4 linked regions of the Coturnix japonica genome follow. The protein of the gene in region 3 interacts with the protein of the main gene of each other region in a biochemical or structural test. Links are inferred from orthologs where the notes say so. Each region holds a gene or a part of one and is shown on either strand. Other genes may lie near its edges.

What was found.
Region 1: the proteins of SIN3A (region 3) and TAL1 form a complex in vitro, tested with the Homo sapiens proteins (2 studies listed by BioGRID). The link is inferred for Coturnix japonica from reciprocal best matches to the Homo sapiens genes SIN3A and TAL1.
Region 2: the proteins of SIN3A (region 3) and SMARCA2 form a complex in vitro, tested with the Homo sapiens proteins (2 studies listed by BioGRID). The link is inferred for Coturnix japonica from reciprocal best matches to the Homo sapiens genes SIN3A and SMARCA2.
Region 4: the proteins of SIN3A (region 3) and MXD1 form a complex in vitro, tested with the Homo sapiens proteins (4 studies listed by BioGRID, with this or other methods). The link is inferred for Coturnix japonica from reciprocal best matches to the Homo sapiens genes SIN3A and MXD1.

Annotation. Positions count from the first base shown.
Region 1 is NC_029523.1:19,448,791-19,455,149, forward strand, and holds part of TAL1 (T-cell acute lymphocytic leukemia protein 1), read right to left. Parts: intron 5,577-6,359; coding exon 5,154-5,576; intron 4,623-5,153; coding exon 4,531-4,622; intron 2,249-4,530; coding exon 1,830-2,248; 3' UTR 1-1,829. UniProt on the Homo sapiens protein: Implicated in the genesis of hemopoietic malignancies. It may play an important role in hemopoietic differentiation. Serves as a positive regulator of erythroid differentiation.
Region 2 is NC_029547.1:23,944,810-23,952,517, forward strand, and holds the start of SMARCA2 (probable global transcription activator SNF2L2), read left to right. Parts: upstream 1-2,965; 5' UTR 2,966-3,118; intron 3,119-4,532; 5' UTR 4,533-4,676; intron 4,677-4,857; exon of another isoform or gene 4,858-4,951; intron 4,952-5,092; exon of another isoform or gene 5,093-5,211; intron 5,212-7,708. UniProt on the Homo sapiens protein: ATPase involved in transcriptional activation and repression of select genes by chromatin remodeling (alteration of DNA-nucleosome topology).
Region 3 is NC_029525.1:1,981,803-1,989,465, forward strand, and holds the start of SIN3A (paired amphipathic helix protein Sin3a), read right to left. Parts: upstream 4,458-7,663; 5' UTR 4,401-4,457; coding exon 4,391-4,400; intron 3,602-4,390; exon of another isoform or gene 3,438-3,601; intron 1,226-3,437; exon of another isoform or gene 1,132-1,225; intron 110-1,131; coding exon 1-109. Other genes in the region: PTPN9 (tyrosine-protein phosphatase non-receptor type 9), read right to left, coding at 4,924-5,132, 5,215-5,422, 5,496-5,646, 5,792-5,870, 6,162-6,231, 6,373-6,466, 6,600-6,928, 7,110-7,220. UniProt on the Homo sapiens protein: Acts as a transcriptional repressor. Corepressor for REST. Interacts with MXI1 to repress MYC responsive genes and antagonize MYC oncogenic activities. Also interacts with MXD1-MAX heterodimers to repress transcription by tethering SIN3A to DNA.
Region 4 is NC_029537.1:820,885-828,521, forward strand, and holds the start of MXD1 (max dimerization protein 1), read right to left. Parts: upstream 4,121-7,637; 5' UTR 4,052-4,120; coding exon 3,793-4,051; intron 3,709-3,792; coding exon 3,609-3,708; intron 1,571-3,608; coding exon 1,541-1,570; intron 880-1,540; coding exon 765-879; intron 260-764; coding exon 100-259; intron 22-99; coding exon 1-21. Other genes in the region: SNRNP27 (U4/U6.U5 small nuclear ribonucleoprotein 27 kDa protein), read right to left, coding at 6,165-6,219, 6,372-6,436, 6,647-6,726, 6,895-7,010, 7,148-7,270, 7,448-7,637. UniProt on the Homo sapiens protein: Component of a transcriptional repressor complex together with MAX. In complex with MAX binds to the core DNA sequence 5'-CAC[GA]TG-3'. Antagonizes MYC transcriptional activity by competing with MYC for MAX binding.

The sequences.
Region 1 (6,359 bases), on a different chromosome or scaffold from region 3:
ACGCTGCTCGAAACAGAACCAGGGCGATGTTCCACACACGGAGACGTGAAGCAGGCAGGAGGGAAGGTGGGTGGGGGAAATGTACCATTCAATCACGATTAAAGGACAACTGTACATACCCCGGGAGGACGGCAGCGTGCTATGGGCAGATGTGCATGTGGGGACTGAGGAGGTTGTACCATTGGCCAACTGTTCAGCTACCAAAAAGGGAGAAATAATAATAATAATAATAAAACAACCAGAATTCTGGGGGATGAGGAATCTCAGAGTGTTGGTGGGGTTATTTTTTTGCAATAATTTGACAAAAAAGTGAATGAGACCCCCTCTCCCCCCAGGTCACTACCCCCTGCCCATACCCAGCGACACCGGTGTCTACAGCAGCCCCTCGTGTTCAGCATTGCCCCATGGTAACCCCTTCACTTAAGCTATCCCTGGAATCAGGAGGGTTCATTGTCCTCCTTCTCCCCACTACACACAGGGGGATACTGTTGGTTTCTGAGAATCTGGGGCTGGGCTCGAAGCCCTGGCTTGGGCACCTAATGCACCTGCTCCATGCTGAGAAAAGTCTCAGCCTATTATTTACAAGAGGCCCTAAAACCAAGCTCTAAGGCTTTCTCCCTTCCGAAGGATGTTTGGATTGTGGTGTAATGCAGTGATTTCTTTGCCTTGGAGCCTCCGCACATGGTTTGAAACAGAGGAACCACATAGCACTGACGCTTGGCCCCAAACCAGCACTGCAGCCCCTAAGCTCTCGGGGTGATCCCATCAGTGCTCTTAGCACTCACCCCATGCCAGGAGATACAGCAAGGCTGCAGCTCCTACCAGCCCCTGCCAATCAAGGGCCTCCTACTGTCTAATTGCATCCAGCTTGTGGGCACTTGCAGGGATGCACTATCACCACCACTTTCACACAACAAAAAACTCAAAGCATACCACCGAAACCCTTTTATAACCCTATGTACACACAAACTGTTGATGCATTGTTAATTTCTTTCGCTTTCTTTTTTTTTCCATTAAAATAAAGCCCCTGGTTCAAGGGGTGGCATTGCTAGTCAACTTTTCTCTCCTGAACCACCTCTGAGTTTCATGTTCCTTGAGAGATGCTCAGCCCTATGAGAAACCTCAGGGGAAACTTAAGGACACCACTGTAGGACTTCACCCACTGTGTTACAGCACAGGGTTGGGAGCTCAGGGGGCGGCGGGGAGCACAGAACACCCTATGTACCTTTATGTTCAGTGGATACTGCATGACGGCATTGAACAGAAGGAACCTCACGTCATAAATACAACACCCCAAACAATCCAACGTTAGGAAGAAGGGAAAGGAAAGGGGACAAAAACGGTTGGAAAAAATAAAAAAAAAAAAAGAGAGAGAAAGAGAGAGAAAAAAAAGAAAGTCTTAATCCTTTTAATAGTTCTTTTGCCGAGGGCATTTTCACCTCATTAAAAAGATACAGTCAGAAGGTCTTGGTCAATGGGAGCATGGCTCGGACCAGTTGCTTGTGCTCCACAGCCCTATGCTTCATTCCTCATGTCTCGGCCACGTGACTACTTGAGAAGCGACCCTCAGGCAGCCCCCAAGAAAACCCTCAGAAAGCTGGAGGGGTGCTGGCCACGTTCCCCTCCCATCCTCAGAGTCAGTATGTACAACGAAGACGACTTCAATGCTTTTCTTCTTCGTACGATCCCGTACCTAAACACCGAGCGTCCGTCCCATTTGGTTGGCCAACGTGCCAACATGGGCCGAGCAGACGGGGAGCCAAAGGTCCCAAATCCCACCCGCTTGGGTCTCGCAACCCTCTGAGCGCTCGGGGAGCGATTTGGGGTCATCACCGCTGTGCGCTGCCTTCAACGGGGAGGATGGCATGGTGCAGGTTCCGTGCGTGCTTGGAGTCGAGCGTGTCGTGCTCCTCCGTGAAGCTGTCTGGACTCGCTGCTCCATCCAAAGAGCTTCCACAGCTGGAGTTCGGAGACAGCATGTCCTGCAGGAGGTCTTCCTGGACTATCCCCGAGTCTTTGTTCACTTTGCCCCTTTGGTTTCCTTCCTCCTCCTGGTCGTTGAGCAGCTTGGCCAGGAAGTTGATGTATTTCATCGCCAGGCGCAAAATCTCATTCTTGCTCAGCTTTTTGTCAGGTGGATGCGTGGGGATGAGTTTGCGGAGCTCTGCGAAGGCTCCATTCACGTTCTGTTGCCTCCACCTCTCCCGGCTGTTGGTGAAAATACGGCGGACCACCTTCGTGTGGGGACCTGCAATTGCAATGGCACACAGTTATTAGCAGTGCCCACCGGGTCATAGAATCACAGCATCACAGGATCATTAGGATCGGAAAAGACCTCTGAGATCACCCAGTCCAACCATCCAGCTACCACCAAAACTGTCCTTAACCGTTTCCCTCGGTCCCTCGTCTCCGTGGTTCTTGAAACTCCACCACCTCCCTGGTCATTTAATAATTTGCTCATTTCTCAAATTACTCAATTTATTTTAGTCCCATCATCAAGGCACAGGACCAGGAGTGAACTAGCAGGAAGCTAACCAAGGAGCTCACCAGATAGCTTTATTTTTCTATCCCAAAAGTCACATCACTGGGACAGAAGAAATAGGCATAAGCCGAGGCTTTAACAGCTCTGAGATCCCAATATCTGCCTTCTGCCCTGATGTCACTGGGATCAGAAGCTGGCAGAGATCACCAGTTCTCTGGGTGCTTCATGTGATGGGGCAGCAGGACTCGCCCTGGTGTAACACACAGTAGAAGTCCTTGCCCGAAGGGTGACCGTGGGAGGAAGACAAAGCAGCCATATTCCTGTAGGGCATGTAACACAAGAGGTGTTCCTGTGCTCAGGAATACAATCATCCGTTCTCCCTCTATCAGTTCTCCTTTCAGCTCATCAAGGCAGCTCCTGATGGCTTGAGGTGACATTGCCTTAATGCCGGGAGAGACCCACAGCAGAAGTCAGCCCAGAAGTAAAGTCAAGACTGCAGGTCCTTGTGTCCACAGAAAGCAGTGTGTGGAAGGAGGCATGCCGTCAGCCACCTCCATCCTCACATCCAGGACTAACTGGCAGTGGAAGGACACAGCAACCACAAGAAACTATGGGAGAATGACTGTGCTGGAAAGAATAGGGAACATCACAGGCAGTGAAAATCACCACAAATTCAGAAGCAAAGTTTTTCACTTAACACACTGATGAGTTGCACCCTAAAGGATGGTCTGTGGGATTCCTATCACACCCCATCTCTCCTCTTGTGGGGATCAAAGTGACCTCAGCCAACAGAGCTGCCTGGCTCTGCTGAGTGCAGTGACAACATGCTGCCATCTCCTACAGCAAGACAATTCCTGCTCGTAAATGCTCTTTCTGGACAAAACAGAGCACACAGCCCTGGATTTAGGAGGTGCAGCTTAACATCTTGTAGCACTCATAAGGGAATAAGGAAAAAAAAAATATGTGGATCATGTTAATTATCCAAAGATCTCAATCTTCACAGGCTTCCAACACATCTCACTCACAGGAAGCTGCCTACTAAGAGTCATCACCTCATAAAATGCTGAAATCAAACATCGACCTGCCCATTTGCCTCCCCAAACAAGATCAAGAATAGAACAAATTCTGAAGCCACTGCAATGATTGATTCTTACATCAGTGCCAGCAACTGAATTGAAGAAAGAATGGGTTCGGGGTGTAGTGTGTCAAGCAGTGGAAAGATTTAAAATACCCTTTAGCTGTATTATAATGGAAGGGCTTCGTTTCTCATAAAGAAGCCCCCAAATGAAGCCAAGCAGTTGGCTGCAAAGTTATGCCTGGATTTTGTTCCAATCAATGGGTTGATCAATGCTGGTTGAATTGTTATCCTAATTACAGACCTGAAGGGGAAAAAACAGCAAGAAGAAGAGCTTCCAAAATGACAGAATATCCTCTCAGATATTTTCCCACACCTCCATATCCACGTGTGTGTGTGTTTTGTACAGGGTGGCACCATCACTGTGTGCTCTCCCTGTTCCCTGCATACCCCCGCAGTGTGCCTTCACTATCTGAGTCCCCAGGAGCACAGGGACAGCCCAGCAGTGGTGACATGTGCTGAGTCTTCATGTCCATCCAGTACTTGTATTCCCCCCCCCAAAACTGACCCTAATTCTGCAGACTGACACGAGGTGGGATCTGCAAGATTGGGCCCTACCTGTATGCACCTGGGGCCAAAAATGTGGATATAATCAGATATTGTCCCACTTTGCAGAATACAGAGTGTCTATTTCTATAGCCATAGAATCATTGAGGTTGGGAATGACTGCAAAACCATCCAGTCCAAACCACCAACCCATCCTCACCATTGGACCCCACACCTCAACACAGCCCCAGTGCCTTCCTCTATTCATCTCAGAGGGACCCGTGGGGCCGGCTGCCCCCAACCAGCTCCTCACACTGTGCCCAAAGGCACCAGCCACGCTGTGTGTGTTGTGCCTTCCCCAATAAGGGGCACCCGCTGCATCCCACCGTATTCCCCCTTCACACATCGGGCTTTTCCCCGTACTCACCGTCGGTGATCTCCATCTCGTAGGGCGACGGTCTCCTTTTCACCCGGTTGCTGCCGTACATGGAGAAGGAGTCCGGCTCGCCGAAGAACCCGCTGCAAACAGAGGCAGAGCGGCGTGAGGCGGCCCCGACCGCTCGGTAGATGCTCACGGAGCCCGCAGCCCACGAAGGATGTAAGAGGAGCCCGGCGTGGGATACACGTTGCGCCCGTGGGGCCATTTACCGTCCCTGGGGCTGAGCAGGGGAGCTCCGGGAGCCCCGCACAGCTCAGCCCCTTATGCCCATACACCACTACAGGACCACAGCGAAACGCCCCATCTCGGCTCTGACCGTGGTATTTCTGCCAGGCTTTCCCTCTCCCCCCCAGCTCTAGGAACGACAATTTTTCAATTTTTCGTTCCGTTCTTCTGCTCTTTTTTCTTCTTCCCCCCTTTCTTCCTTTGCAAAGTTTCCTTTCTTTTCCTTTTTTTTTTTTTTGTTTTTTTTTTTTTTTTTTTTGGCGATGACTCAGCCCTCCCCCAAACCCCTTTCCCCCAAACAACCCCCTTCCCCAAACAACCCCCTTCCCTCTTCTCCTTCCCCCTCAATCCCGGGGACGCGGTGGGGGCCGGGGGGAGGCACGGACCTGCCGATGGTGCCCAGCGGTTGCCCCAGGTTGTAGAGCATCGCCCTGCCGGGGGGCTGCAGCGGCAGCGCGGGGGGACTCAGCTGCACCATTCGGGCTTCGCAGGCGGCTTCGGCGGCGCGGCACGGCTCGGCTCCCGGCGCTCTCTGCATCGCCTCCCCCGCCGCCTCTCGGCTTTTTATGTCCAAGGAGCCCCCCCGGCGAACCAACTCGATGACGGGCACGGCGGCGGCGGGGGGCCCGGGGGAGGGTCGGCCCGCCTCTTTGGCCGCCCCGTTGAGCAGCAGCTGGGGCTCGGCCGGAGGCTCCATGCCCCCTCGGCTGCTGTCGGGCTCGCTCGTGGGCTCCGCTTCGGGGTCGTGGCGGCGGGCATCGCGGGGGTCACTGCTGGGGGGCGGCGGGGCGGGCGGCCTGTCCATCGTCCTGCGGGGAGAGCAGCGCTCGGGGCGGCCCGAACCCGACAGGGGGGTCCCCCCGCTTCTGCGGCGTGATGTCACGCAGCGGTGGCGTGACGTCACGGCAGAAACACCTCCAACCCCCTTCCCTTGTACCCCTGTACCAATGACCCTGGAACCCCCCCCATCCACACACACACACCGTACCCACAGGGGCAGGGAACTGGAAGGAGGCCGAGGGTTCTCCCCGCTCAATTTTGAGGACATTTCGGTCCATTAGGGGGGATTTTTTACTTTATTCGTATTAGAATAATTGTTATTAATTTTCAACATGGAAACCAAGCTCCAGGCGCTGCCCAATGGAGGGGAGAAACGCTCACACAAAGCCCCGCACCCCCATGAGCTCAGCAGGAAGGAGGAAGGGGCCCCGGCTCGGAGCAGCCGCGGCCGCGCACGGCAATTGTCTGCGGCCCCGCTCCCTTCTTTCTCCCCTATAACGAAACTATTGCGACAGAGCCGAGGGCGGGCAGCGCTATCGCGACTATTTCTCCTTTTCCCACCGCCCTCTTCGCTCTTTCTTTCTTTTTTCTTTTTTTCTTTTTTTTTTCCTCCCTATAAGTAACGGTGCAAATCTCATTCCCGACATCCCCGCTGCTTCGCTTTGGGTCAATAATTATCATTTCTGGGTTGATCCAACCCCAGAGAAAATTATTATTATTATTATTTCGATCACACCTCTCCATCTGTAATAATAATAATAACAGTCATCATAATATCAGCCGTTCAACCCAAAGCTTTACCGCCTGCCCCC
Region 2 (7,708 bases), on a different chromosome or scaffold from region 3:
ACACAGGTAGGTAGAATATCCTTCCTTCTAAGATTCATGTGCTTTGGTAATAAAAGTACTGTCTCCAAAACCCCATGGATGGGACATGAGAAGGCTTTTGCAGAGGGCACAAGTAAAAAAGGCACTTTACAGGGTTTCTTATATCAATGATTTGCTTGATCATCACATGGTTTGTCTTGACTCCTTAGCAGAAAGGACGAGGGGAGTGGAAAGTGAAAGAAAAAAAGGGCTGCTGCTTTTTTCTGGGGTAAGCCAGACACATGAACTATCTTGATGTGTAACACGAGACATTCCCACCTTATTGCAGCAAACCTATGGAGGCCAGTCTGAGGTCCCCAGATGATGATCTAAATGACCTCACCATACAGCAAGAAATATCCCATCTTCACCCCATTTTCACCTTTCAAAACTTATAAAAGTTCAAGCATGCACATAGGTCTTTTTGCTTTTTGAGGTGAATACTCTCTACCAAAACAGCAATCAGAAATCATCAGGCATCTGTTTTCTTAAGGCAAGACTTCACCTTGCTCACTTAAGGCTTCCTTGGGTACATTTTAAAAAATAATAAGTCTTTGTTGTTGTTAATTGCATAGAAACCTGAGCACGAAGCCACCTTCATGGAATGTGGTAGCTTTAACTCATTTTCACTGTCCATCTAACCCTAGCAGCTGGACTTTGCTGAGGACTCAGGTGCCAAAACAAAGAATCAAGAAAGCAAGCCCCTATTTTCTGCCACTTCTGCTGCAATGGCTGTAACTGCTGGCAGAGAACACAAACTGTTGCAGCATGGCTTTCTTTTGAGGTAATGGTAGGTACAGCTACAACTGTAACTGCAGCCTATGACAATGATCTGCCAGTTTAGTTGAATATCTTTAATCCTGACAAAAGAAATAAATCCAACCTGTCAGTCAGTTTACACTCAGATTAATTCATACTTTACCAACGACCAAATGGAAAAAGTTTTACATTAACAATATCTGAGGTTTTGTTGTCCCAAATGGGCAAGAGAATTGGCTACCAGTGACCCCCTAAAATAAAGACAATTATTAATTAAACATAGTTACATTTATCTAAAAGCCTAATGAACAGCTTTTGCCTGTAAGACTAATTTTACTTTCCTTCCTTATTCCCTGTATCCTTTCTTGCAAACAACAAAGCAAAACCAAACAAAAAACAACTAAAAAACAGCCAACCATAAAAAAACAAAACAAAAAAACCCCCAAAAACACAACCCACAGAAACTGGCTCGAGCTGGTTTGTAATGGTTTGAATACTGCCCTGCACAGCACAGAAGCTTCCCCTCCATTGCTTGGGGTTTGCTTTCTCTTTGCAAAAAGTGCAGGGCCTACAGACTGACTCTGGGAATAGATAAAAACAAACATGCAAAGAATCCGCCCACCAAATACCTGTTTATAGTTATGGTATGACAAAAATTAAAAGAAAGAGGGAGAATCCTTTCAGCTGCGTTAGAATCAATTCCTAAAAGCCTGAACTATGTTCTTTCAGTTCAAAGAAGCTGGACTGCTACTTATAAAGTGGGGTTTAAAATTAAGTCCCACATCACTCGTGGATCACAGTTTCAAGCAGCGATAGTGGATACTTGTATACACAGAACTGAAAGCGTTTCCATTTATTTCGTCTGCACCTCGATGCTGCCCACAAAAACAGTGACGAACTGAGTACCTTCCCTAGTCGTTTTATTGGACACTCGGCGTTGCCCGGCGTTACCACTGATTGACAATTATCTATCGGTATTTTGGCAGTCACTCTGAAAAACAATCAAGACGAAGCTAATGATCGAGCGGTGACGCCTCAGAACACACAGCAACAACAGTCATTAACACTGCATCGCTAGGTTATAACCGGATGGTTACCGCTCACATTCCACCAGCAATAAAGGTCCAAAGCAACCACAGAATAACACCCGCCGGTGCTCCGGGTCCTTAAACCCAGTCACCAACTCCAGCACGTTAAACGCAGGCGGCAGAGGGGAGAGGCACGCTTTCCTTCACTTTAAACTTGATCTCTTGCAAAGCCCGCAGTAGGACGGGCACATCACCTGCACAGCGGCAGCCTCGGAGTCAGGACCGCGCGTTCAGCCGCGCTCTGCCTGCCGGCGTGCTTATGTCTGAGCAGCCCGTGACGGCCTGTTCCGAGCGCGGCCCCGCGGCGCCGTTACATAAACAGCGGTACCTTCCGCAAACAGCGCCGGCGACGCGCCGCCTCCTGTGGGTACGTGGCCGGGCACGGATAAAGCCCCTCCGGCCCGGGGAGCGAGCAGCGTGCCGACAGCGGGGGACAAGGAGCGGCACGGCGGCGCCATTTACCCGCCCGCACCGTGCCGACACCGACCCGCCGCCGCTCCTCCCGGCGGCACGGGGCTCCGGCGGGGCTCGGCACCGCAGCTGGACAGGGGGCGACCGCCCTGAACGTTCTCGGCCGCCTCCTGACCGCGCCACGGCTGCGGCCCCGAAGTTTCGGTATCGCGTTTCCGCGAGCCTTTTTGTTTGTGTGTGTGCGTCCCTTCCCGCAGGTGTCCCGCAGCGCACACCGCCAGGTGCGGGAGGCCCCGCCGCCCTCCGCCCGGCTCCTCCCCGCTCCGCCCCGCGGCGGCGGGCCGGCCCAGGCAGGCCGCGGGGCAGCGTCGCGCTTCCAGCACCTTCTCCACCTCTCCCCACGCCGCCCGCCGGCGCCTCCTCACGGAGGTGGCCCCAGCCCCGCGCTCCGCTCCGCGCGGGCGGGCCGGGAGGCGGCGTGGCGGAGCCTCGGCGGCGGCGCGGCTGTCGCGGGCAGAGCCGGGCGCATACCGCACCTCCCCGCCCTACGGCCTCCCGGCTGAGCGACGGGCGGCGGCAGCCAATAGGGGCGCCGGCTCCGCGCTGGGGGGCGGGCAGACCCCGCCGGCGGGCCAGTGGGAACGGCGCTTCCTGAGCAGCGGCGGCGTCGGCGCGGGGAGGCGGCGGAGGGGGCCGTGGGCGGGGCCGGAGTTTGGGAAGCGGAGGGAATGGCTGTCACCGGTGAAGTCATGCTCGGCGCCTAGCCGCTCTCCGTCCCCGCTCCGCTGCTCGCCCAGAGGCAGCGGCGCGACACCCGGCGCGGCGCTCCGCCCGAGCGGAAGGTAAACGCACCTCGCCCCGCGGGGCCCCGCGCCGTCAGCTCCGTACCCGCCAGCTCCGTTCCGCCGCCCCGCGCGTTCACGGAGCGCAGCCCCGGCCGCCCCCCGCCCGGTACGCCCCGGTGTGCGCACCGCCAGCGCGGCGCGGGGAGAACAAAGTTTGGCTGCGGTGTCGGGGGAATAAGCCCCGCGCGCACCGCCAGCCGGGGAATGGGACAGAGACCGCCCGCCAGCGCCGTTCGGCCGCGGGTTTTTGGCTCCGTCCGCAGCGGGGACGGAGTCGGAGTGCGGAGCAGCGGCCGGGGCCGCCCGCCCCTTCCCCACCGCGGCTGCGTGGCTCGGGGAAGTTGTGGCGTCCTGCGGCTGAGCGCGGTGCGGGGCTGTCTCCGCAGCGCTGCTGGCAGCGGGAGGCCGCGGGCTGGGCGCCTGTCACGGCGCGGGAGGGAGGAGGGAGGGCAGGCAGGGAGGGCCGCGGCCCCGCGCGGGGCTTCCGCTGCCTCCGGTCTGCTCCCCGCGGGCACCGCGCCTGCCCGGCCCCCGCCCCGCACAGCGACATACGCACACACACACACACAGACACACACAACGTGCGCTCGCGGTTTGGCGATCGCCTTAACAAGCGAAAAGCGTTTTATTTCCGGTGTGCGCGGAAATTTATTTATTTATTTATTTTTAATTCGGTCGGACCAGCCGCCGGTACGGGACGCGGCGCCGCGCAGCGCCCTGCCGTGCCGGCCGAGCTCGGCACCTGGAAAAGTTCTGTCCTCGCCGGGGCGGCGGCGGACGATCAGGAAGCGGCCCCCTCCGCGCACGGACGCGTTGGGTGGCGGTGACATGGTGGCGGGGGCGCGGGGCGGCGGGGCTCGGGGCCGGGCTCTGCCCTGAGGCGTGCCCCCGGGGGAGCCCGCCCGCCGCCGCACCCCGCCGCGGTACGGAGCCACACGGCCCGGCCGGGCGGAGGGACGGAGCGGGGCCGCGTCTCCTTGCGCTGTGCAGCCTCTGGGCCGTGCCGAAAACTTTCCGAGAAGGCCGGAGGGGCGCGCGGGGCCCGGCGGGGTGCAGCCCGCCGCCTCGCCGAGGCCTACGTTCCTCGGCCGGGCCGGAAGCCGCTTGGCGCTGCCGAGGCGCTGCCCTGCCCCGCGCGGGCGGTGCGTAGCGGTCCCGCGGACGCCGTCCGGGAGCCCGCGAGCGGGGCCGGACCGACGGCGAAGAGCGGAGCGGAGCGGACGGGCTTCGGGTTCTGACTGCTCCCCCTCCCCCCCAAATTTGTCATGGTGGAATGGCAGTCTGTGCACAGCTGGGAAAGTTACGGTCCTTCACGCTGCAGCCGAAGTTACCGTTAAATGCTTTTTTTTTTTTTTNTTTTTTTTTTTTTTTTTTTCTCCTCCCTCTCCTTTCCAATTTGCTTTCTGCGAAGCGCGCATCGTTATTAAGTAATTAGTCTCGTTCCGTGTCGGTTGTTGTGGCCGCGCGATTCGCCTCGGCATCGGCTGTTGACGACACGCAGCCTCGCCGAACTTCGGTGAACACCGCGTTTTTTGTCTTTCCGCGAATACTTTGGGTAAGTAAATAACCGGAGAAAGGGAACGGTAAAACAGCGATCGGTTTTCATCTAATTATTTATTTATTTTTTATTTTTTTTTTACCACTGGAAGTAGTGTGCGCGCTTTCTGCAAAAAAGTGACGTAGGACCTGTGACACCGCCTTGTGCCATTTGCAATCTCTTTTGTTTTTGTTTCCAGTTTGTTCGTGTCGTTTAGCGTTACCCACAGCCTCTGTGGCCCAGGCAAACACACGTTTCGGAGCCGAGTTCCCTCAGTAGTGCACCAGTCCGAGGTGGGGCCGTCGCTGCCGTGTGAGCCGGGCATTGTTATGCAAATCGAGGCACACTTTCTCTTCGGGAGCCTAATTGCCCCCTTACTGTCTTTGACTTCTTTTCTTTTGTCCTTTTGTGATTCTGTGCGAAAAATGATGTAGGAGAGTGGTAGCGGTGAAGACCGGGTTGTGTCAGCAATAGAAGGAAAGATCGAATAATGAACGTTTTAAAATACATCCAGGGTTGGGTGTATCACACAGAATGCGTGGACGTGACAGAGGTGAGGTTAAAGCTTCATTAAATCCAGCGTTTCTCTCATGAGTTGTTATGTCTCAGCTTCAGTATTGGTGTTTCTGTGGTGTTTCATAGAACATATGCGCCAGAAGAGTGTGTTCAAAGTAGTCTCAGATCTTTTCTTTTGTTCATTTCTGAAGTGGTCTGTGAGCATTTCTTGTGAAGTTTGAAAAACGCTTTGACCAACGCCTGAGGCTTGAAGTTGACAAGAGGAAAAAGTGCTCCAGCTAACACTCATATGAAATACGTTCTTGACAAAGGTGTACATGAAATTAACATTTCTAGATATATTTTCTCAGGTTTTGTTGAAGTTAAGGTCACAATACGCGTGGTCTGCACTTCTTCCATCAGTGTTCATGGCCTGAACTATCAGTGTTGCTGTGAACTAGCAATCCTAAACTGAAAAAGACTTTTATTCTTTAAATGAATTTGGACATCTTTGCAGATTGCTTGTTAAAACACCTTTTTTTTTCCTTCTTTTTTTCTTTTTTGGCGTGCGTGTGTGTTCTTTCTGTATGGAGTGTTTCTTGGACATACATCTCTTCTGTATCAGTCTTATTTTTCAGTTGTTCAGTTGATCCTCCAGCGGGATGAGAAGAACAGTGTTACAACATAAAGACCGCTTGTCGTGAAAATGGCAGCAGAGAACAGTTTATGTCTTATTTGCAAGCCATAAAATAAGGAAGGATGATTTTGGAGAAAGAAGCAAGGCTCTTCAGACACAGCTCTGGTAGTCTGCTGGTGTAGCAGGATTAGAAGACTAAGACTGAAAATTGTTTTTATTTTTTCTAACACATTTAAAGTCTACTCTTCTTGTGGATAAACGTTTTGCTCTGAGTGTGTCCCTGCACATTACTGTGGGGTTGCAGCACCTAGGTGAATCATTTAGAGCCAGGATCTCTAGGGCAAATGCTAAGAACATTTCTTGTCATGAAAATGATGCCTTTGCCTCATCTTTGTTGATATTTTATTTTAAACAACTCATAGTAAGAAACAGCTTTCTTCCTTCTTTTCTTCCCCATCTAAATAGAGACCTGTAATTAATTCCTTTCCCTCTGCCTACCTCTAATTGTGGCTTTTGTTTTTCAGAGTCTGACACGAAGATGATGTTCACTAATCATCATTAATACTTGTAGAAAAGGTCACTGTATGGAAACTTAATCTATAATCAATCAGTGCTGTCATGAGACAGTTCGCTGTGCCCTGGATGTACAATAGAACCTACGTGTGCAGCAGACATGGGCTTGATCTTGGGCATTGACAGATTTGTTAGTGGTGACCATGGCTATGGGGTTAAAAGGCAGTTCAGTAAACTTCCAACTGTCGTGCCTGCCCTCCTTTTCTCTTGAAGGCTGTTGGCTTCTGTAGCAAATCCAATGGAAAGGGTCATGGCTGTGCTTTGGCCTCTTCATTGAAGTCTGGTGACATAGCTTAACCTAACTTCTATGAACTCTGACTTAGAATGACTTCTATGGGGCTGGTTAGTATGTTCATCCCCAGCTGGTAGGTGGTCATTTCTTGGTGCTGTTTCAGTGTTCTTGGGGAATTTAGTCTGTGAGTTTAAGTAGTTTGTTTCTTCGTGGAAAACTGAAACAGCTACACAGTGGGAATAGGAATTTCTTCAACAGGATGCAGCCAGCCTCTGGTAGATGGCTAGACAATCAGCTAAGGCAGCGTCTAGGGGTTTTTATCTGACTGAAGTATCTGGATAAGCAATTACATTGCAGTATTTCTGATTCTGTGGTTTGTAGTCCAAGCTACAAGTTACCTTCTAGAAGATTTTCAAGTTACAGTGAAGTTATGTATCTGAGTATACAAAGGCAGAGTCTCTCAGCTTTTCTGTGTTTGTCTTCTCCCATGTGAACAGAATAATTCTGGTTTATTTTAGCTGAAGATGTGACTCTTCCGCTTTACTGATTTTACACTGTTTCACGTAAACGTACTGTTTACTGATTGATTCTTTGATGAAACAACAGTAGTCAAGTGCTCATAAATGTCACTGCATAGTGTCCAGGAGTGTTGTAAAACACATAATGCTGATTTGCTTCTAAAAACTATAGGCTATTTATTTTAATTGTAACAAGCTACTGCTTTTGTGAATCATGTCTTAAACTCTGAACATCTACCTTTGATTACTGTTAGTGGGTGATGCAAATACTGTGAGCCATTAGCGGTATAATTTCTGATTTTGCTTGGTAGTATTTAAGGATAACACCAAGCTGTTATACATTGTATCTCAGCTTTGCAGTGTAAGTTTTTTAAGCCAGCTTTGAAATGTGACTTGTTTTTGGAGATGTCTGAGAAGAAGTGGACTGTAATAGTTTTTCTGTGGAGTTATGGGGAGAGTGCTTTGCAGCATCTGTGTGGCTATTGCTTGGGTCCACATTCCCCTTTAGTTGGATGTAAATGGCACAGTTTTCTTGCTTTTCACTACCTGTCCAAAGCAGGGGATCTGGTTGAAAACAACAACTGAAATTCAGTTT
Region 3 (7,663 bases):
GCGTCGGTGCTGCTGGTGATACGTCTCTGCTGTGCCGTGTACACGGGTGACTCCTGCTCATCCAATCGCCGCTTCATTCTGAACTCATGCTCGGGAAGCACTAAAAAACCTGGGAGAAACAGAGCAATTAAAGAGGGACATTGATTAACCACTCCCTGCCAGCGCTGGGAACACCGAGTTTGCCAGGAGCAGGTAAGACAAGTTTCGTGCTGATTCCTTTACGTTGCTATCTTAAGATAGGGAAACAGAACTAAGATTCAGCATTCTGCATGAAACGTGTAATGCAAACACACAGCTTTCTTGATAGAAATAAAGCCCTGCTTTCCAGTTGAGGATTTGTTCTGGCACTGATAGCAAAGCCCATCCTGAACCTCCTCGGCAGCCCAGGCTGGATAGGATTCAGGCATCAGAGATGCCTTAGAGCACAGGAGGAGGACAGGGAGCTTTGCCTTGCTGCCTTGGTACAGCAAGCCCTCTCCAAAGCAAACCTTCAGCCACAGACACACAAGCTCCCCCAAAGTAAGTGTACAGGGCAGTGTAAACCCATCATCAACATAACAGACCAAACTAGTGGAGAAATATACAAAGGTACTGCCAGCAATACACGTGGCAGCCAGCTCCTCACCCAGCTCCTTTCACATGGTGGGAAGAACTGCCTGCTTTAAGTCTGCTTAAAGCTGCTCTGCAAGTTACACCTCCCAGAACACCAGCCCCAAAGCTTTGGAATATACTCTGAGCATGCTCCAGCAATTCCCTTAGCTCTTTGTAACTGCACCAGGTGTCTTTGTGCTCAGCTACTGGACGAACCAACAGCCTCCCAGGCTCACAGGGAGCTGCTCTCATAGCCTTTAGCTCTGAACAAACTTCTAGTTGTATGCTAATGGAGCCTGGACCGAGCAGAGCAGGCTGGCAGTGAATCCCAGTGCTTTGCATGACAATGCCAGGCCCTGGGCAAAGCCTTGGTGGCATCCATTTCTAGAAGGCTACACCAACATAGAACTGAAGCCTTGGGCTCTGCCAACAGCCAAGCATTGCAACTGCCCCAGCTCCTGCATCTCACGGGGAAACACGTGCTGGCAAACGCTCCCAAAGCACATTCCTTCCATCCCTTGAGGTCTCACTGATCTTTACCTGGTGTGTCCCACAGATCTGCTCTGTTAGGAGGGCAGACTGCAATGTAGCAAGCTGTACCTGCTGCAGAATGGTATTCCGAGGGTAACTACGACCACAAAATCACTCAGAACAGAGTGACATCACAAGCAGTGCTATGGTTACCATATGGCTTTCAGAGCAATGGAACACAGCCCTATGATGGGCAGCATTCTCCATGCGGACTTTGACTCAAAGCATTTAGAAAGCCCCAATTCAAATTGCATCATCTGCGATGCTTAATTGGGGAGGGAAAAATAAAGACTGCGAAATACAGCATGGTCTGGGTGAGACTGAGAGCAAGCCACAAACTTTAGGTACTGTCCTCCAATAAGAGCATCCATCTATATGCTCAGCAATGGCTTTACAGAGCAAGCTCCACTCTATAGAGACCACATGGACCTGCATCCCCTCCCTCCCAGCACCAATCTATCTTTTAACTTCAATCAGAGCATCTCCTTACAGGAATACACCCCTCCACAGGAGGATAAAAGCTTTTTCACTTTCCTTTTCCTGGGCTGTAAGTTCTCCCCTTGCAGGAGAGCAGTGAATAGTGCAGGTCTGCTGCGTGACACCTGTTGGAGCCACAACACTTCTGCACACACAAATGATGCTTTCAAGAACAAGTTGTGAAACCCAACCCCACAAGAGAGATTTCAGACCTTGCAGATGCAAACCCGAGACACTCCTGAAACAGGGGAACAGCACAGCTGCCGGTCAAGCATCTAAGATTTGCAGGAGCTGCTTTAAAGCCCTTAGGAGGCTGCAGAATGCCAGCTACAGGCACCTTGTGAATATGAACCTCTAGAGAGGAGCTCTGATGCCACTAAGAGCCAGAGATGAGGACAAATCCCAAGCAGAGGGACACTTTTGCATGTCACCTGCTGCCTGAGCAGGCTGGAAGGACACCCCAAACTCACAGATCCTCACATTAGCAGCAACGTTGCTGTCACATTGAATTTTAAGCGTTAGTACCTGGACTGAGCTGTGTAGAGTGAGGATGGTTTGCTCTTAAGGTGGAAAGGACCCAAAGCTTGGAAGCAGCCCATGAGTGGCTCAGGATCAGAGAGGTGACATCCTGGCTGCTTGCTCGTGGTATGCCCTGCCATGTGGGTTCTCCTCGAGCCTTGGCATCCTTACCTATGGTCTCCCTTCTCACATGCAGGCAGAATGAGAGCAGTACCTGCAGCCACTCTGTGACAGCAGAGCCAGGGGAGCTGGGAGAAAGCAGCACAGCACCGAGAGTGCACCCATAGCCCTGCAGCATGGAACAGCAGCCATAGAACTGTGTTGGCTTCACCAGCCACGATGGCTTCCCAGTATGTATGGCTCATACATGCTAGGAAGGTGAGCAACTCACTCCTGTCATGGTTATGCCTTTCCGACAAGCTCACAGCAGACTGGTGGCCATGAGCACAGCGTGAGCTATGTCTTCCAGCACCCGTACACAGCAGCGCTCTGTGCATGGCTTAAACGCAACGGGATCACGTTCTTATTTATGTACCACCTCGCTGGGCGTGCTGAAGGTTTCTATGCCCCCATTGGACACAGTGACCATGCATAAGTTGGGCTTGGAAGGGACCTGTGTAAGAGGAAGGGCTGGGTGCCCTCTGGCCGCTCTCCCTGCTTCAGCCCCAGCTTTACTCACGCTGCCCCTCAGCTGGGGGGGTGGGGAGGAAAGGAGTGGGGCTGTTCCTAACGCCGTGCTGTGGGGTTGGAACTACGTGATCCTCGAGGTCCCTTCCGACCCGGGTCATGCTGTGATGCTGTGTGGGAGCAGGATCCTACAGGTGCTTTGAATCAGCACAGGCTCCTCGTGCTCGCTTGGAAGCGCCAGAGGAGCCTCCAAAGCAGGAAGCAGGAGCCGTGAGGGCAGCGCTGCTGGGCCGAGCTGAGCCGGGCGGGGCGGGGCGGGGCGGGGCTGAGGCGGCCCCGCGTAGTGGGCGGCGCGATGGGCGGGAGGCTCCGTCCCGCAGCGCGCCCAGCGCCGCTCGCCCCGCCCGCCGCTCCCGCCATGCCGGGCTCCCCCCGCACACACACACACACACACGCGGGAGGCTCCGTCCCGCAGCGCGCCCAGCGCCGCTCGCCCCGCCCGCCGCTCCCGCCATGCCGGGCTCCCCCCGCACACACACACACACACACACACACACGTACACACTCACACTCACACACTCAGGGCTCAGCGCGGTACCGGGCCCTGCCCTGCCCCGCCCCGCCGGATGGCTGCTCCCCCCCCCTCAGCCCCTCACGGCGCCGCGTCCCCCCGATGCCGCCTTTCCCCTCACCTGGAGGCGGCGGTGCCCGGCGGAGTCTCGCTCCGTCCCGGCGCTGCGCTGAGCCCCGCGCTCGGCCCGCGGGGGAGGCTCGGGGCGCCGATGTGTGTAACCGCCGCTCGGCCGCCGCGGCGGAACGCTGCCCGCTTCTCTGTTCCCCGGGAAATCCCGCCCCTCCCCGCCGCAGGGAGGGGGGAGACCCGCCTCGCGATTGGTCGAGCCACGCGTCGCTCAGCGCGCGGCCCAATCGCCTCGCTCGGCCCGCCCCCTCCGCCCGCCCCCATTGGCCGCGGCCGCCAGGAAGGGGATGTGGAGAGGAAGGGGAGGGGGGAGCGAGACCCGAGAAAAATGTCCGTACGGCCGGCAAGCCCCGCCCCCTCCCGCCCCCGCAGCCTTCCCATTGGGCGGCGGGCTGAGGAAGCAACCAATCAGCGCGGCGGACCGCTCCGCCGTCACGTCGCGGGGGGGTATAAAGCCACGCCCCCTCTCCGGGGAGCCCTTTTGTGGATGTTTACATCGGGGCGGACCGGGCCGTGATGGCGGCGGCACCGACCGCGCGGGACCGGCACGCACCGCCACGCCGCCTTTGTCCCACCGACCCCACACCACTTCCGGGAGCCAGCACGTGGGGGGGGGAACACAGCCAGCAGCCAATGGCCGCGGGGGGCGGGACCGCACGGCGGCGGAGCGGGCGCTCCCCACCCCCTCCCCTCACACACACACACACACATACACACACATATACACACACACATACACACACACATATACACACTCACATACACACACACACACACACAGCCGCGCTCCCCCCCCACTCGTGCGCGCTCCCGCGGCGACCGTTGGGCGGGCGGGAAAAGCGCGGGAGCGCGCCTCGCTTCCTCCCCCCTCAGAGCTCCCCGGGCCTTCCCATCCCATCACACCCCACATGAGGGGCCCGCTGGGCGGGCAGCGCTGTGACATACCCTGTGACATACCCTGAGCGCGCAGCGAGGCGTCCTGAATGGAAACGGGAACTCCCCCCGGGGCCCATTGGCCCTACGAGGCCGTTCGTCACCGCCGGACCGCCCTCGGGGGGCTGATGTGGGGAGGAGCGACGAGAAAGCAGCTCGGAGGTGAGATCGCTCTTCGGTTTGCTCGCTTAATGTTAAATACCACAGGGGAAAAAAAAAACCAACAAAAACACCCCCAAAAAGCTCCTCCCCCACGCTCCGGGATTATAAAAAAATAAGAATATACACATTCCAAGAGCTTATTACAGTATAAAGTTCCCGATGCAGCAGCTTGCGCTGGGAACACAACCCCCCCCCCCCCATCCTTCAGGGCTGTTCTGCGTACAGTCTAGATGGTCCCACCGAGAAACGAACAAACAGACCAAAAAGGAATAAAAATCATAAGAAAATAAACCATCCCAACCCACCCCCCCTCCTTTTCTTTTTGTCCCTCCTGCCCCGGCTTGCTTGAAGTTAAGGCACAGTTCCCAGCTGGCAGGGCTGTGTCAGTGCCCGGCCGAGCCCTTGTGGGCGGCAGGCAGCAGGCCGCGGCGCTGGGCGTGCTCCAGCACTGCGCTATAGCAGAAGTAATACTGCTCCGGGGTCTGGATGCTGAATGCTCTCTGTGTCCTCATCCGCTGCACCGTCTGCTGGATGTCCAGAGTACCCACATCCTGCAGCTGCGATAGGCAGATGTCCAACGCACACAAAGTACCTGGGGATGAAGGCAAGCAACGCTCAGCCAACACAATGCAATGCAACACCCCCCCTGTGCTGGACTGTGCTGGACTCCTTACCCGTCCTGCCGATGCCGGCGCTGCAGTGGACCACAAGCGGAGGACCCCCCGGGTGCCCCTTGAAGCGTGGTCCCAACGCACTGACAGCCACACGCTGCTGCTGCTTCACAGCCCCCAAGAAGTCAATGAGTGTTGCTGCCGATGAGGGCACGCCGTAATCCGGCCAGCTCAGGTATTGGAAGTGAGAGAGCAACCGCCGCTCCTTGCCCTAAGGGTGAGTGGGGTGGTCAGTGGGATGGGATAGCCCCGCCACAACCTTAGCACATAACCTTAGCACACACCTCGGCACTGTGGAGCTCTAAGATGGTTTTCTTGTAATGGCTGAGGTTCTCCACGCCCAGGTTGGTGATGGTCAGCGCCCCAAAGCGCATCTGGAAATCCTTCTCCAGGGGCCAGTACTGGCCGCACTTCCTCCTGCCCCCCTCCTCCAGCCTGCGGATGAGACAAGGTGACACGGGGATAATGTTCTTCCCTGCCAGCATCGTGTGGTGCCCTGTGTCCCATCAGCTGCTCTCTGGCTGTGACAGCAGCTGATCCAATAGCAAAACCACTTCATTTTGCCACCCAGGGCACTCACCGAGTCGTCATCACAATCACCAGGACGTTCTGCTCCCACACCAGCCTCCAGAAGTCCTCGATGGTTTTCTTCAGGGGCCCTGCAGGGACAGCCTGCTGTCACTCAGTGGGGCTGGGCAGGACAGGCAGCCCCTGGGCATCCATGGATGTGAGAACCACCCAGAGGGTGGTGATGCACTGGAACAGGTTGCCCAAGGAGACTGTGGATGCTCCATCCCTGCAGGCATTCAAGGCCAGGCTGGATGTGGTTCTGGGCAGCCTGGGCTGCTGCTTGGCAACCCTGCACATAGCGGTGGGGCTGAAACTAGGTGATCATTACAGTCCTTTTCAACCCAGGCCATGCTATGTTTGTGTGAACACACAGCCCTTACCTTGTGTCCCAATGTACGCGTTCCTCTGCTTGTAGCCATCCATGAAGCTGGCGTTGATGTAGTCGGTCAGCTGCGGACAATGACACGGCATGAGTGTACCACAGGAATGGCTTCAGCATGACCCCTGGGCTCAGCTCCAAGCAAGCAAAGCGAGTGAGAACCCAGATACTGGGCGTCAGGGATGGGCTGGTGGAATGCAATGGGGGCTCACCTCAGGGCGGCTATAGGGCCTGGCCAGCTTCACGCGGGTCTGGTCCAAGCAGGGCACGTCCCCATAACGGTTCTTCTCCTGGTTGTAGGGCGCCCTGGGGCAGAGACAGGGCAGGGCAGCAGGGCATCCCAAGGCAATGCCCGGGGCTCTGCTGCCATCACCTGGCTGCAGTCCCGGGAGCAGCGTGCACCAGTTTCCCGCTGCCCCTCCCACCCCATTCAACTCACAAGGAGCAGACGAAGGTCCCGGCCGGGCTCCGGCGCCGGATGTCCTCATACTCCTCATAGATACCGCGCTTCTGCTTGCGGCTGACGTGCTCCAGCAGCTCCTGCGGGGTGAGAGCCTTGGGGCCGGGCACGTGGAGCGAGCCGTTGTCACGAGGGGTCACCAGTGGCACCAGGATAAGCTCATCCAAGGGGTCGGGGTGCCCGTTCTGCTGCGGTAGGAAGCGGCAGTTCCAGCTGAGCGGGTCCAGCTTGAGGCAGCCGCCGAGGGTCTCGGGAAGGCACTCGCGGGGCAAATGCTCCTTCAGCTCCGACATCTTCACCATCTGCACCTGCAGAGGACAGGCATGGGCACTCAGCTCAGCCGGCAGGAGGGCTCTCCTCAGCTCAAGCAGCAGAGATCTTCGGGCATATTGTTCCAAGCAGCAACCAAGTTTATCTTCTCCCACGTGGCTCGTTTTCTTTCCCTTTTAAAGCTGCCAGCCCCCAGGAGCCTGCAGCCCCCACACTCACCCTCTCACGCAGCTTCTCCTTCAGCAGCAGGCTGATGATGGAGTAGGGCACGCGGAACCACATGGGTGCTCCCACGATGAACACCTTCTTCAGCCTCGCTGGGAAAGCGCCCTGTGGACAGCGAGGGCTCAGGGACGGCTCGGCTCCACGCTGCAGGACTAACCCACACCCAGCGTGGCCCCACAGCAATGACAACCGCAGGGTCCTGGAGCAAAGCAGCTCCCAGCACAGTCCATGCTCCAGTCCACATCGATTTCCATGTGGCCAGCAGAGGGCTGGGCTTGATGAGGCAGCGGTGAGGGCGGGAGCAGGGCTTTGAGCCCCAGCTGCTATTTACTGGGAGCTATTTTTCCGGAGAAGGGAGGAGGCACGAAATGCCAGCACCATTAAAAAATAATTTGCATCTGTTTTCATGAAAGAGCTGCCAGCAGCTGTGTGAGGAATCCAGCGCGTGGGGACAGCTGATCCCCTCCCAGTGCCTGAGCCTCCCCCCGAGGGGCTGTGGATGGCACCCAACCTCCTGCATCCCCCCCCATCCCATCATCCTGCCCCAT
Region 4 (7,637 bases), on a different chromosome or scaffold from region 3:
CCACATCCACGTCGATCTCTTCTGCAAGCAGAAAGCAAACGGCATCACAAGGAGCTCAGTGAGGCCTCCAAACGTCACCCACAGATGTGTGGGTCTCACCTCTGTCCGAGTCGGAGCGCTCCGAGGACACAGTGGAGCCAACACTGTCGGTGCGGATCCTCTCGCTGCCCAACTTCTCCAGCTGCCGCTTCAGGTGCCGCTGCTCACGCTGCAGCTGCTCAATCTGGTGGAGGGCTCTCCTGTCGTAGTCCTCCAGCTTCTGCAGGGGGAGAAAAGGATGGAATGGTTGGGTCGGAAGGAACCTTAAAGATCAGAGTCATGGCCTCACACCTCCAAGCCCCTCCAGCCCCAACCCATGCCATGGGCTGCTCACCACCCACCACATCAGCCTGCCCAGATCTCCCAGACCCCTTCAGAGCCAGACTGCTGCTGATACAACCCCATAGCAGAGAGCTGGCACACTAACAATGCTCCCTCCTCTGAATGGTTTCTATGCAGTGCTTTTCTCTATCCCTTTTCTCTATTTCCAGGCCTTGATAAGGCACCAGTGGCACGCAGGCTGAGTCCCGCCGTGCCGCCATGGTTATCTGCTGCTTCATAAAACCAAATGTGCTCAGTGAGAGTCACAGTGTAAAGGGCAAACCATAAAGCAGTCAACACACCAGGAAGCCACATGGTGCCAACAGAGCAGGAGCGAGGCTGAGGGCTTTGGAAAAGCTTTGTCTGAGCCCTCCCTCAGAAACTTCTGGTGCAGCCAGACTCACCTTGATGTGCAATTTGGCTTTCATGAGTAAACTCAGCGTGGTGTGCTTGCTGGATTCGGGGCCGAGCGGCACCAGCACCTTCAGCTTCTCCAAACACAGCCGCAGGTGGGCACGCCTGCAAGAAAACCATCAGATGCTCAGTGTGCCCCAACACCACGCAGCATCTTGACCTCTATATCAGCGCAGGAACAGCAAAATAAAACTGCTCCAGCTACATCCAGCACAGGGCTGCAAACACAGCACGGCCCTCGAGCCTCCTCTGGGTCAGGAGCAGGCAACGTGCAGCACTCCACGCTCCCTCCTGCAGCGCAGGATGCCCCATGCTCAGTATATTCCGGTTCCGTTCCCATTGCAACACCTCCTGTGCCGTACCCCACTGACACACTCAGGGCAGATGGGGATGTTGCAACGACCTGCCTATCTCGTTCCGCATGCGAATAAACAGGCATTTGCCTGCACTGAGTGCCTCCTGCATGACACTGCCAACAAAACACGCGCTTGTGCTGCTGGGGTCAATCCCAAACTGAGCTGAGCCCTCACTCAGGTTGTTTTCCATCAGGCTGGGCTGCACCCCAGCAGCTCAGCAGGGGGAGGTGTGTGATTTAAACCCCTTTCTAGGGGGTGAAAATGCCACAGGGAAATTCCAGCTGCCTGCCCCAGGTGGGCACTAAGCAGTACCAGGGGCACAGCATGGCACGGCTCCTTCTGGAATAGGAGAGGGGCAGCCCTGATGTGCAATGAGAAGAGATCCCGTGTGGGTCCCGGCCCATTCTCACCTGTTCTTTTCCATCTCATTGTGAGTCGACCTGAAAAAGAAAGAGGACTTTGTGAAATGCTCGGCTCCAGGAGGACGACAGACAGCAGGGGGGGGGTCTGCAGAGGGGTCACTGCACCCAGGATGATAAATGTGGTGGCATAGGGATGGATAGGGAGAGATACCCAGAGAGATGGCAGTGTCAGGGAGACCCCACTGAGGTGGTTGGGATGGGGACGGCTCGCTGCTGGTTATGGGGAGCACAAAGCAGCACCAACAGCACAGGATGGCAGCAGCACCCAACACACCCCCCCGGGTGAGTGGTTGTAAAGGAGAGGAGGAAGCAAAGGGGCCCAACCAGCGCTGAGCAGCACCACACAGGAAGGGGAAGCTCTCCTCATCCCAACACCAACCCCAAACTGAGCAGAGCACAACTCCAGCGCATCTCTAAGGTACAACCAGCAGCCCCAAAGCACGAGTCCTGCTGCTCCCATTCCTTGTGAGCAATGTTAAAGTGAGGAACGAAGCTCCTTATCTCCCCATTAAGGAACCTCTGGGCGCTCGCTGACGGGACGGGGACGTCCTGCTGTCACAGCTGGCAAAGGTCACCCGTCCCCATGCGACGTGATCCGGAGCAGGACGTGGTGCCGTGCCCTGAGATGGCAGAGCTGCTCCTCCCTGAGCAAACAGCAGGAAGGAGCCGGGAGGGGCGGCAGGAATTGGCCATGGGTCACATTTAGGGGCACAATCTCTCCTCCCCATTGTGGGGGTTTGGATCTGAATCTCATCTGCCACTTTAAGAGCCCCCAAATGGAACCTGGGCACAAGAACCACACCAAGGCAACATCCAAAGCAAAGGCCGAAATCAAGAGCTCAGTGTCAGCATCTCTGCCTGCCACGTTGTGTGACTGCACCTTCAGCTGTGTGCACTGTGACATGGAATCCTCATAGACTGAGCATCCCATGACAGCGGCGTCCCCAAAGGTCCCCACAGCCCACAGCCCCCCCATGGCAATGGGATTTCAACAGGCCCCAATAGATCCCAATCTCCTGGTGCAGGCAGTGCCCTCTGCTTCCACGTCCCCCCAGCCCGGAGCCCTGTGACAGCTGCTGACCCCCGGCTGACAGCGGTGTCCCTATGGATCCCTATGGGGTCTCCATGGGTTTCTATGGGGTCTCTATGTCTCTCTTTGGGTCCCTATTGGTCCCAATAGGTCCCTATGAGTCTCTATGGGTCCCTATGGGTCTCTATGGGTCCCTATGGGTCTCTATGGGTCCCTATGGGTCCCTATGGGTCTCTATGTGTCCCTATGTGTCTCTATGGGTCTCTATGGGTCTCTATGGGTCCCTATGGGTCCCTATGGGTCTCTATGGGTCCCTATGGGTCTCTATGGGTCCCTATGGGTCTCTATGGGTCCCTATGGGTCCCTATGGGTCTCTATGGGTCCCTATGGGGTCTCTATGGGTCCCTATGGGTCTCTATGGGTCCCTATGGGTCTCTATGGGTCCCTATGGGTCTCTATGGGTCTCTGTGGGTCCTTATGGGTCTCTATGGGTCCCTATGGGTCTCTATGGGTCCTTATGGGTCTCTATGGGTCCCTATGGGTCTCTATGGGTCCCTATGGGTCCCTATGGGTCTCTATGGGTCTCTATGGGTCCCTATGGATCCCTATGGGTCTCTATGGGTCCCTATGTGTCCCTATGGGTCTCTATGGGTCCCAATGGGTCTCTATGGGTCCCTATGGGTTTCTATGGGTCCCTATGGGTCCCTATGGGTCCCTATGGGTCTCTATGGGTCCCTATGGGTCCCTATGGGTCTCTATGGGTCCCTATGGGTCTCTATGGGTCCCTATGGGTTTCTATGGGTCCTTATGGGTCTCTATGGGTCCCTATGGGTCTCTATGTGTTCCTATGTGTCTATATGGAGTCTCTATCTGGTTTCTATGGGTCTCAATGGTTCTCTATAGGGTTTCTATGGGTCCCAATGGTTCTCTATGGGTCTCTATGGGTCCCAATGGTTCTCTATGGGTTTCTATGGGTCTCTATGGGTCTCTATGTGCCCCCATTGCCCCCCTCCCCCCTCCCGTTACCTTCCGCCCCCTCCGTTCCTCCGGCCGTTCCTGCTCCTCGTTCTGTCCCTTCGCGCTGCTCCATGTCCGGGCATCGTGGAGGCGTAGCCGTGTTCGGCCTCTGTGGGGACACAACGGGAGCGGGCAGCGCCGGGCGGCACCGGGACGAACCGGGGGGGGGGGACACACGGTGTAATACCGGTACCTCGCTCCCGACGCTCCAGGTACTCGGCAGCCTCCAGGAGCAGCTCGATACTGGACCCGATACCGGACCCGATACCGGACCCGATACCGGACCCGACACCGGACCCGATACCGGACCCGATACCGGACCCGATACCGGACCCGACACCGGACCCGATACCGGACCCGATACCGGACCCGATACCGGACCCGACACCGGACCCGATACCGGACCCGATACCGGACCCGACACCGGCCCCGTCGGTTCCGCCCGCCGCCATCTCCGCTGCTGCGGGGCCGGGCCGGGCCGGGCCGGGTTGAGCTCCTCGCCCGGCCGCTCCGCCGACTCCGCCCACCGCCGCCTCTCATTGGATGCCGCCCCACCGTCTCTTTTCGCCATTGGTTGGCTGTGAGACACGCCTTTCCGCCATTGGCTCGGCCCCGATGGAAGCCCCGCCCCCTCCCCGCTGTCGCCGATCAGACGGGCCCTCCGGGAAGGCGCGCTGTGATTGGACGAGCCGCCAACGGGGCTGACTCACTTCCTGCCTCCCGCAGCCAATGGGAGGGCGAGAAGAGGGCGAGGGGGCGTGGCCAAGTGTCAACGTGGGGCTGTAGGGCCGGGACCCCCCGGACCCCGGTATGGGGGGACCCCATAAAGGATGGAGACCCCATAGGAACCAGGAGCCCCCTATAGGAAACAGGCAGCCCCTATAGGTAACAGGCAGCCCCTATAAGTAACAGGCAGCCCCTATAAGAAACAGGCAGCCCCTATAAGTAACAGGCAGCCCCTATAGGAAACAGGCAGCCACTATAAGGAACAGGCAGCCCCTATAAGTAACAGGCATCCCCTATAGGTAACAGGCAGCCCCTATAGGTAACAGGCAGCCCCTATAAGGAACAAGCAGCCCCTATAGGTAACAGGCAGCCCCTATAAGTAACAGGCAGCCCCTATAGGAAACAGGCAGCCCCTATAAGGAACAGGCAGCCCCTATAGGAAACTGGCAGCCCCTATAAGGAACAGGCAGCCCCTATAGGAAACAGGCAGCCCCTATAAGAAACAGGCAGCCCCTATAAGCAGCCACCCCTATTAACTGGGACCCCTATAGTCCTCCCCCAGCACCCAAAGGTGCCGCCCTTCACCCCACAGCAGGGACCCCCCCCACACCCCATAGAGCCCAATGGGATGGAATTGGGTTTTTTTTTTTGGGGGGGGGGAGGCTGTTTCCTCCCCACACCCCGAAACCCAGCCCTGCCCTGGGGTGACTCACCCCCCCAGCACGGAAACCAGATAAACCTGGGTGTGTGTTAATGGGGGGGGGGGGTCAAAAGGGGAACACGCCCCCAATGCAGCGGCCCTAAATAGAACCCCATTGAACAGCAGAACACGGCTGGGGGGGTTTGGGGGTGAATGGGGGGGGATTGGGCTGGGGGCTTCATGAAAGCACCCATCACATCTAAGTGTGGCCAAACAAATGGGCTTTTTTCTCCTCATTTTGAGCAGGTTGGTTTAATGAGGTTTAATTAGCACAGAGATAAAGGAAATGATGGGATGGGGGGGTTGGGAATTCCCTGTCTGGCAGCGGGGCCTTATCGCAGGGCTCCAGGCGTGTCGCAGTGATGACAGGGCACCAACACAGCCCCGTATGGCACTGACAGCCCGGGTGAGTCACCGGCACCAATAAGGGCTGGATTTACTAAGTCAAACCTGCCCTAAAATAGCACAAAACCCCATAAAACTCATAGCAAAAAGCTCAGCTCCGGGCTGGATCCGCATGTCCTCATCTTAAAGCATCGCTGGGAGGTTTATGTGCTGATTGAGATGGGGTTGAAAGCAATGTTGGCTGTAGGGCTGTGCTGCCACCTCCTGGGGTTGAGGGAACATAGAGCTGAGATGGGAATCCCTGTATGGGGGGAATCCCTGCCCAAGGTTTGGGTTGGAATCCCTGCCCAACCCTGGGGTGACCCATTGAACACACAAAGAAGCAGCAAAGTGAGTTTGTTCAGCTCAAATCCCAAAGGTTGAGTTGGGGATCAGCTGTTGGGTGGGTTTTCCAGCAGCGTTTTCTCGCTGACTTTATTCCTGAGTGATGTTATAATAAAGGGAGATTGGGGATGAACCAGAAAGGAAAGGGAAAAATATCGATGGGTTTGAATCAGACGATGCTGAGCTGGTAAAAAAAATAACACAACAACCAATAGAACCAGCAGGAAATCCTGGCGAGGAGCAAACGGAGCCGAGATCGATGAGCTTCAGTTCACCCTCCCTCGGTGCAGGGCAGAGCGAGAGCACCCGGATTTGCTCTAAATGACCCCAAAATCCCTTTGAGGATGGAGTGACGGAGTCCTGTCCCACCTTTGAGGTGTGTGAACAAGGCAGAGCTGCTCCGTGCAGCGTCAAGCGATGAAATCCAATGGTCTGTTGAATCCTCCTTTTCTGTTCATGTACTGTCTGTGGGGGAGAGGAGAAGGAACAGATCAGCTCCTCACTGTGCCCATAGACAACCTGGACTCTGAGATGCTGTTTTATCTCCCCCCCTTCCCAGCAGTGCTGTTTTATCACATGAAAACAGGTGGATTCAGTGCAATCACAGCAGCACAAACCTGTATTTCCTCTTCTGGGACACGTTGATGGCGTATGCGTTTGCAGCACCGTCCACTTTCTTGCCCTTGAAAGAGGAGAAAGAGCAGAGCTGTGTGTAGCACCAAGAGCTGCCCACGTAAAGCAAACAGAGCCACAGCTCCGGGATGTGAAGGAGAAACCCCACATCAAATGGGTGCAATGCAACGGGGGGAGTTGTTTTGGGGTACAAGCAACACTGTGCTGTAATGCAGCCCTGCAGGGTGAGGAAAGGCAGCTCTGAGCCCAGCAAACTCACTTTTGTTGTGTCGAAAGAAGCGAAGCCCATCATCTTCATCATCTCGATTTCCTCCTCCGTCTTGCCTTGCAAATCCTCCTCTGTAAAGGCAACGAAACAGGGGGATTCACCCACCATCACCCAGCACAACCGGTGGTTTTACACTTCTAAAGCACTTCAATAAGTCCCAAAGAGCCCCTCAATGCTGCTCACAGCACCGATAACCCCAACATGAGTTAATATAAGGGTTGTTGGGGATGTTGGCTCACCCGTGATCTGCCGCTCTTTGCCTTTGGTGTCTTTACTGTCCTTCTTCTCCTCGTCCCGTCTCTCCTTCAGTCTCAGCGGGGAGGACGAGCTGGAGTGGTGCCGCCGGGGGGGGGGGGACCTGAAACGGCCGGTATGAACGGATCAGAATCACGGGAACCGGAGCAACGGGGAACGGGGTCGGGGATGGAAAAGGGGACGGAGATAAAAGGGAACGGAGATAAAGGGAACGGAGATAACGGTACCGGGCTCCTGACCTGGATCTCCGCCGATGCGGGGACCGGGATCTCGTTCTCCTCCTGTCCCGGTCCCGGGATCGTGTCCGTTCCCTCCTCCTCCTGTCCCGGTCCCGAGAAGCGGATCGAGATCGGCGGCGATCTGAGGGCAACGGGACATGAGGATGAGGATGATGAAGGCCCCGGGCAAGGCCTCACGTTCACCCCCAGGCCCCGCAGCCCCCCCGGGACCCCCCCCCCGGCTCCTGTCCGCCCACAGACCCCCACCCCGTACCCAGCCGCCCCCTCACCCCCCCCCATTCCCGTCCCATCTCCTCACCGCGACGCGGCGGCGAACGGGACCGGCTGCGGCCCATGGCGCCGCCCCCCACTTCCGCCTTCACCCCCTCCCCACTTCCGGCGCTCCGGTCCTCTCTCCCCACTCTCCGGCCGGAAACAGCACCGCAGCGCTTTGGTTCCGCCTCCAAAATGGTCCGGGGGGGGTAACAAGCGCTTTGTGCCCCCCTTGG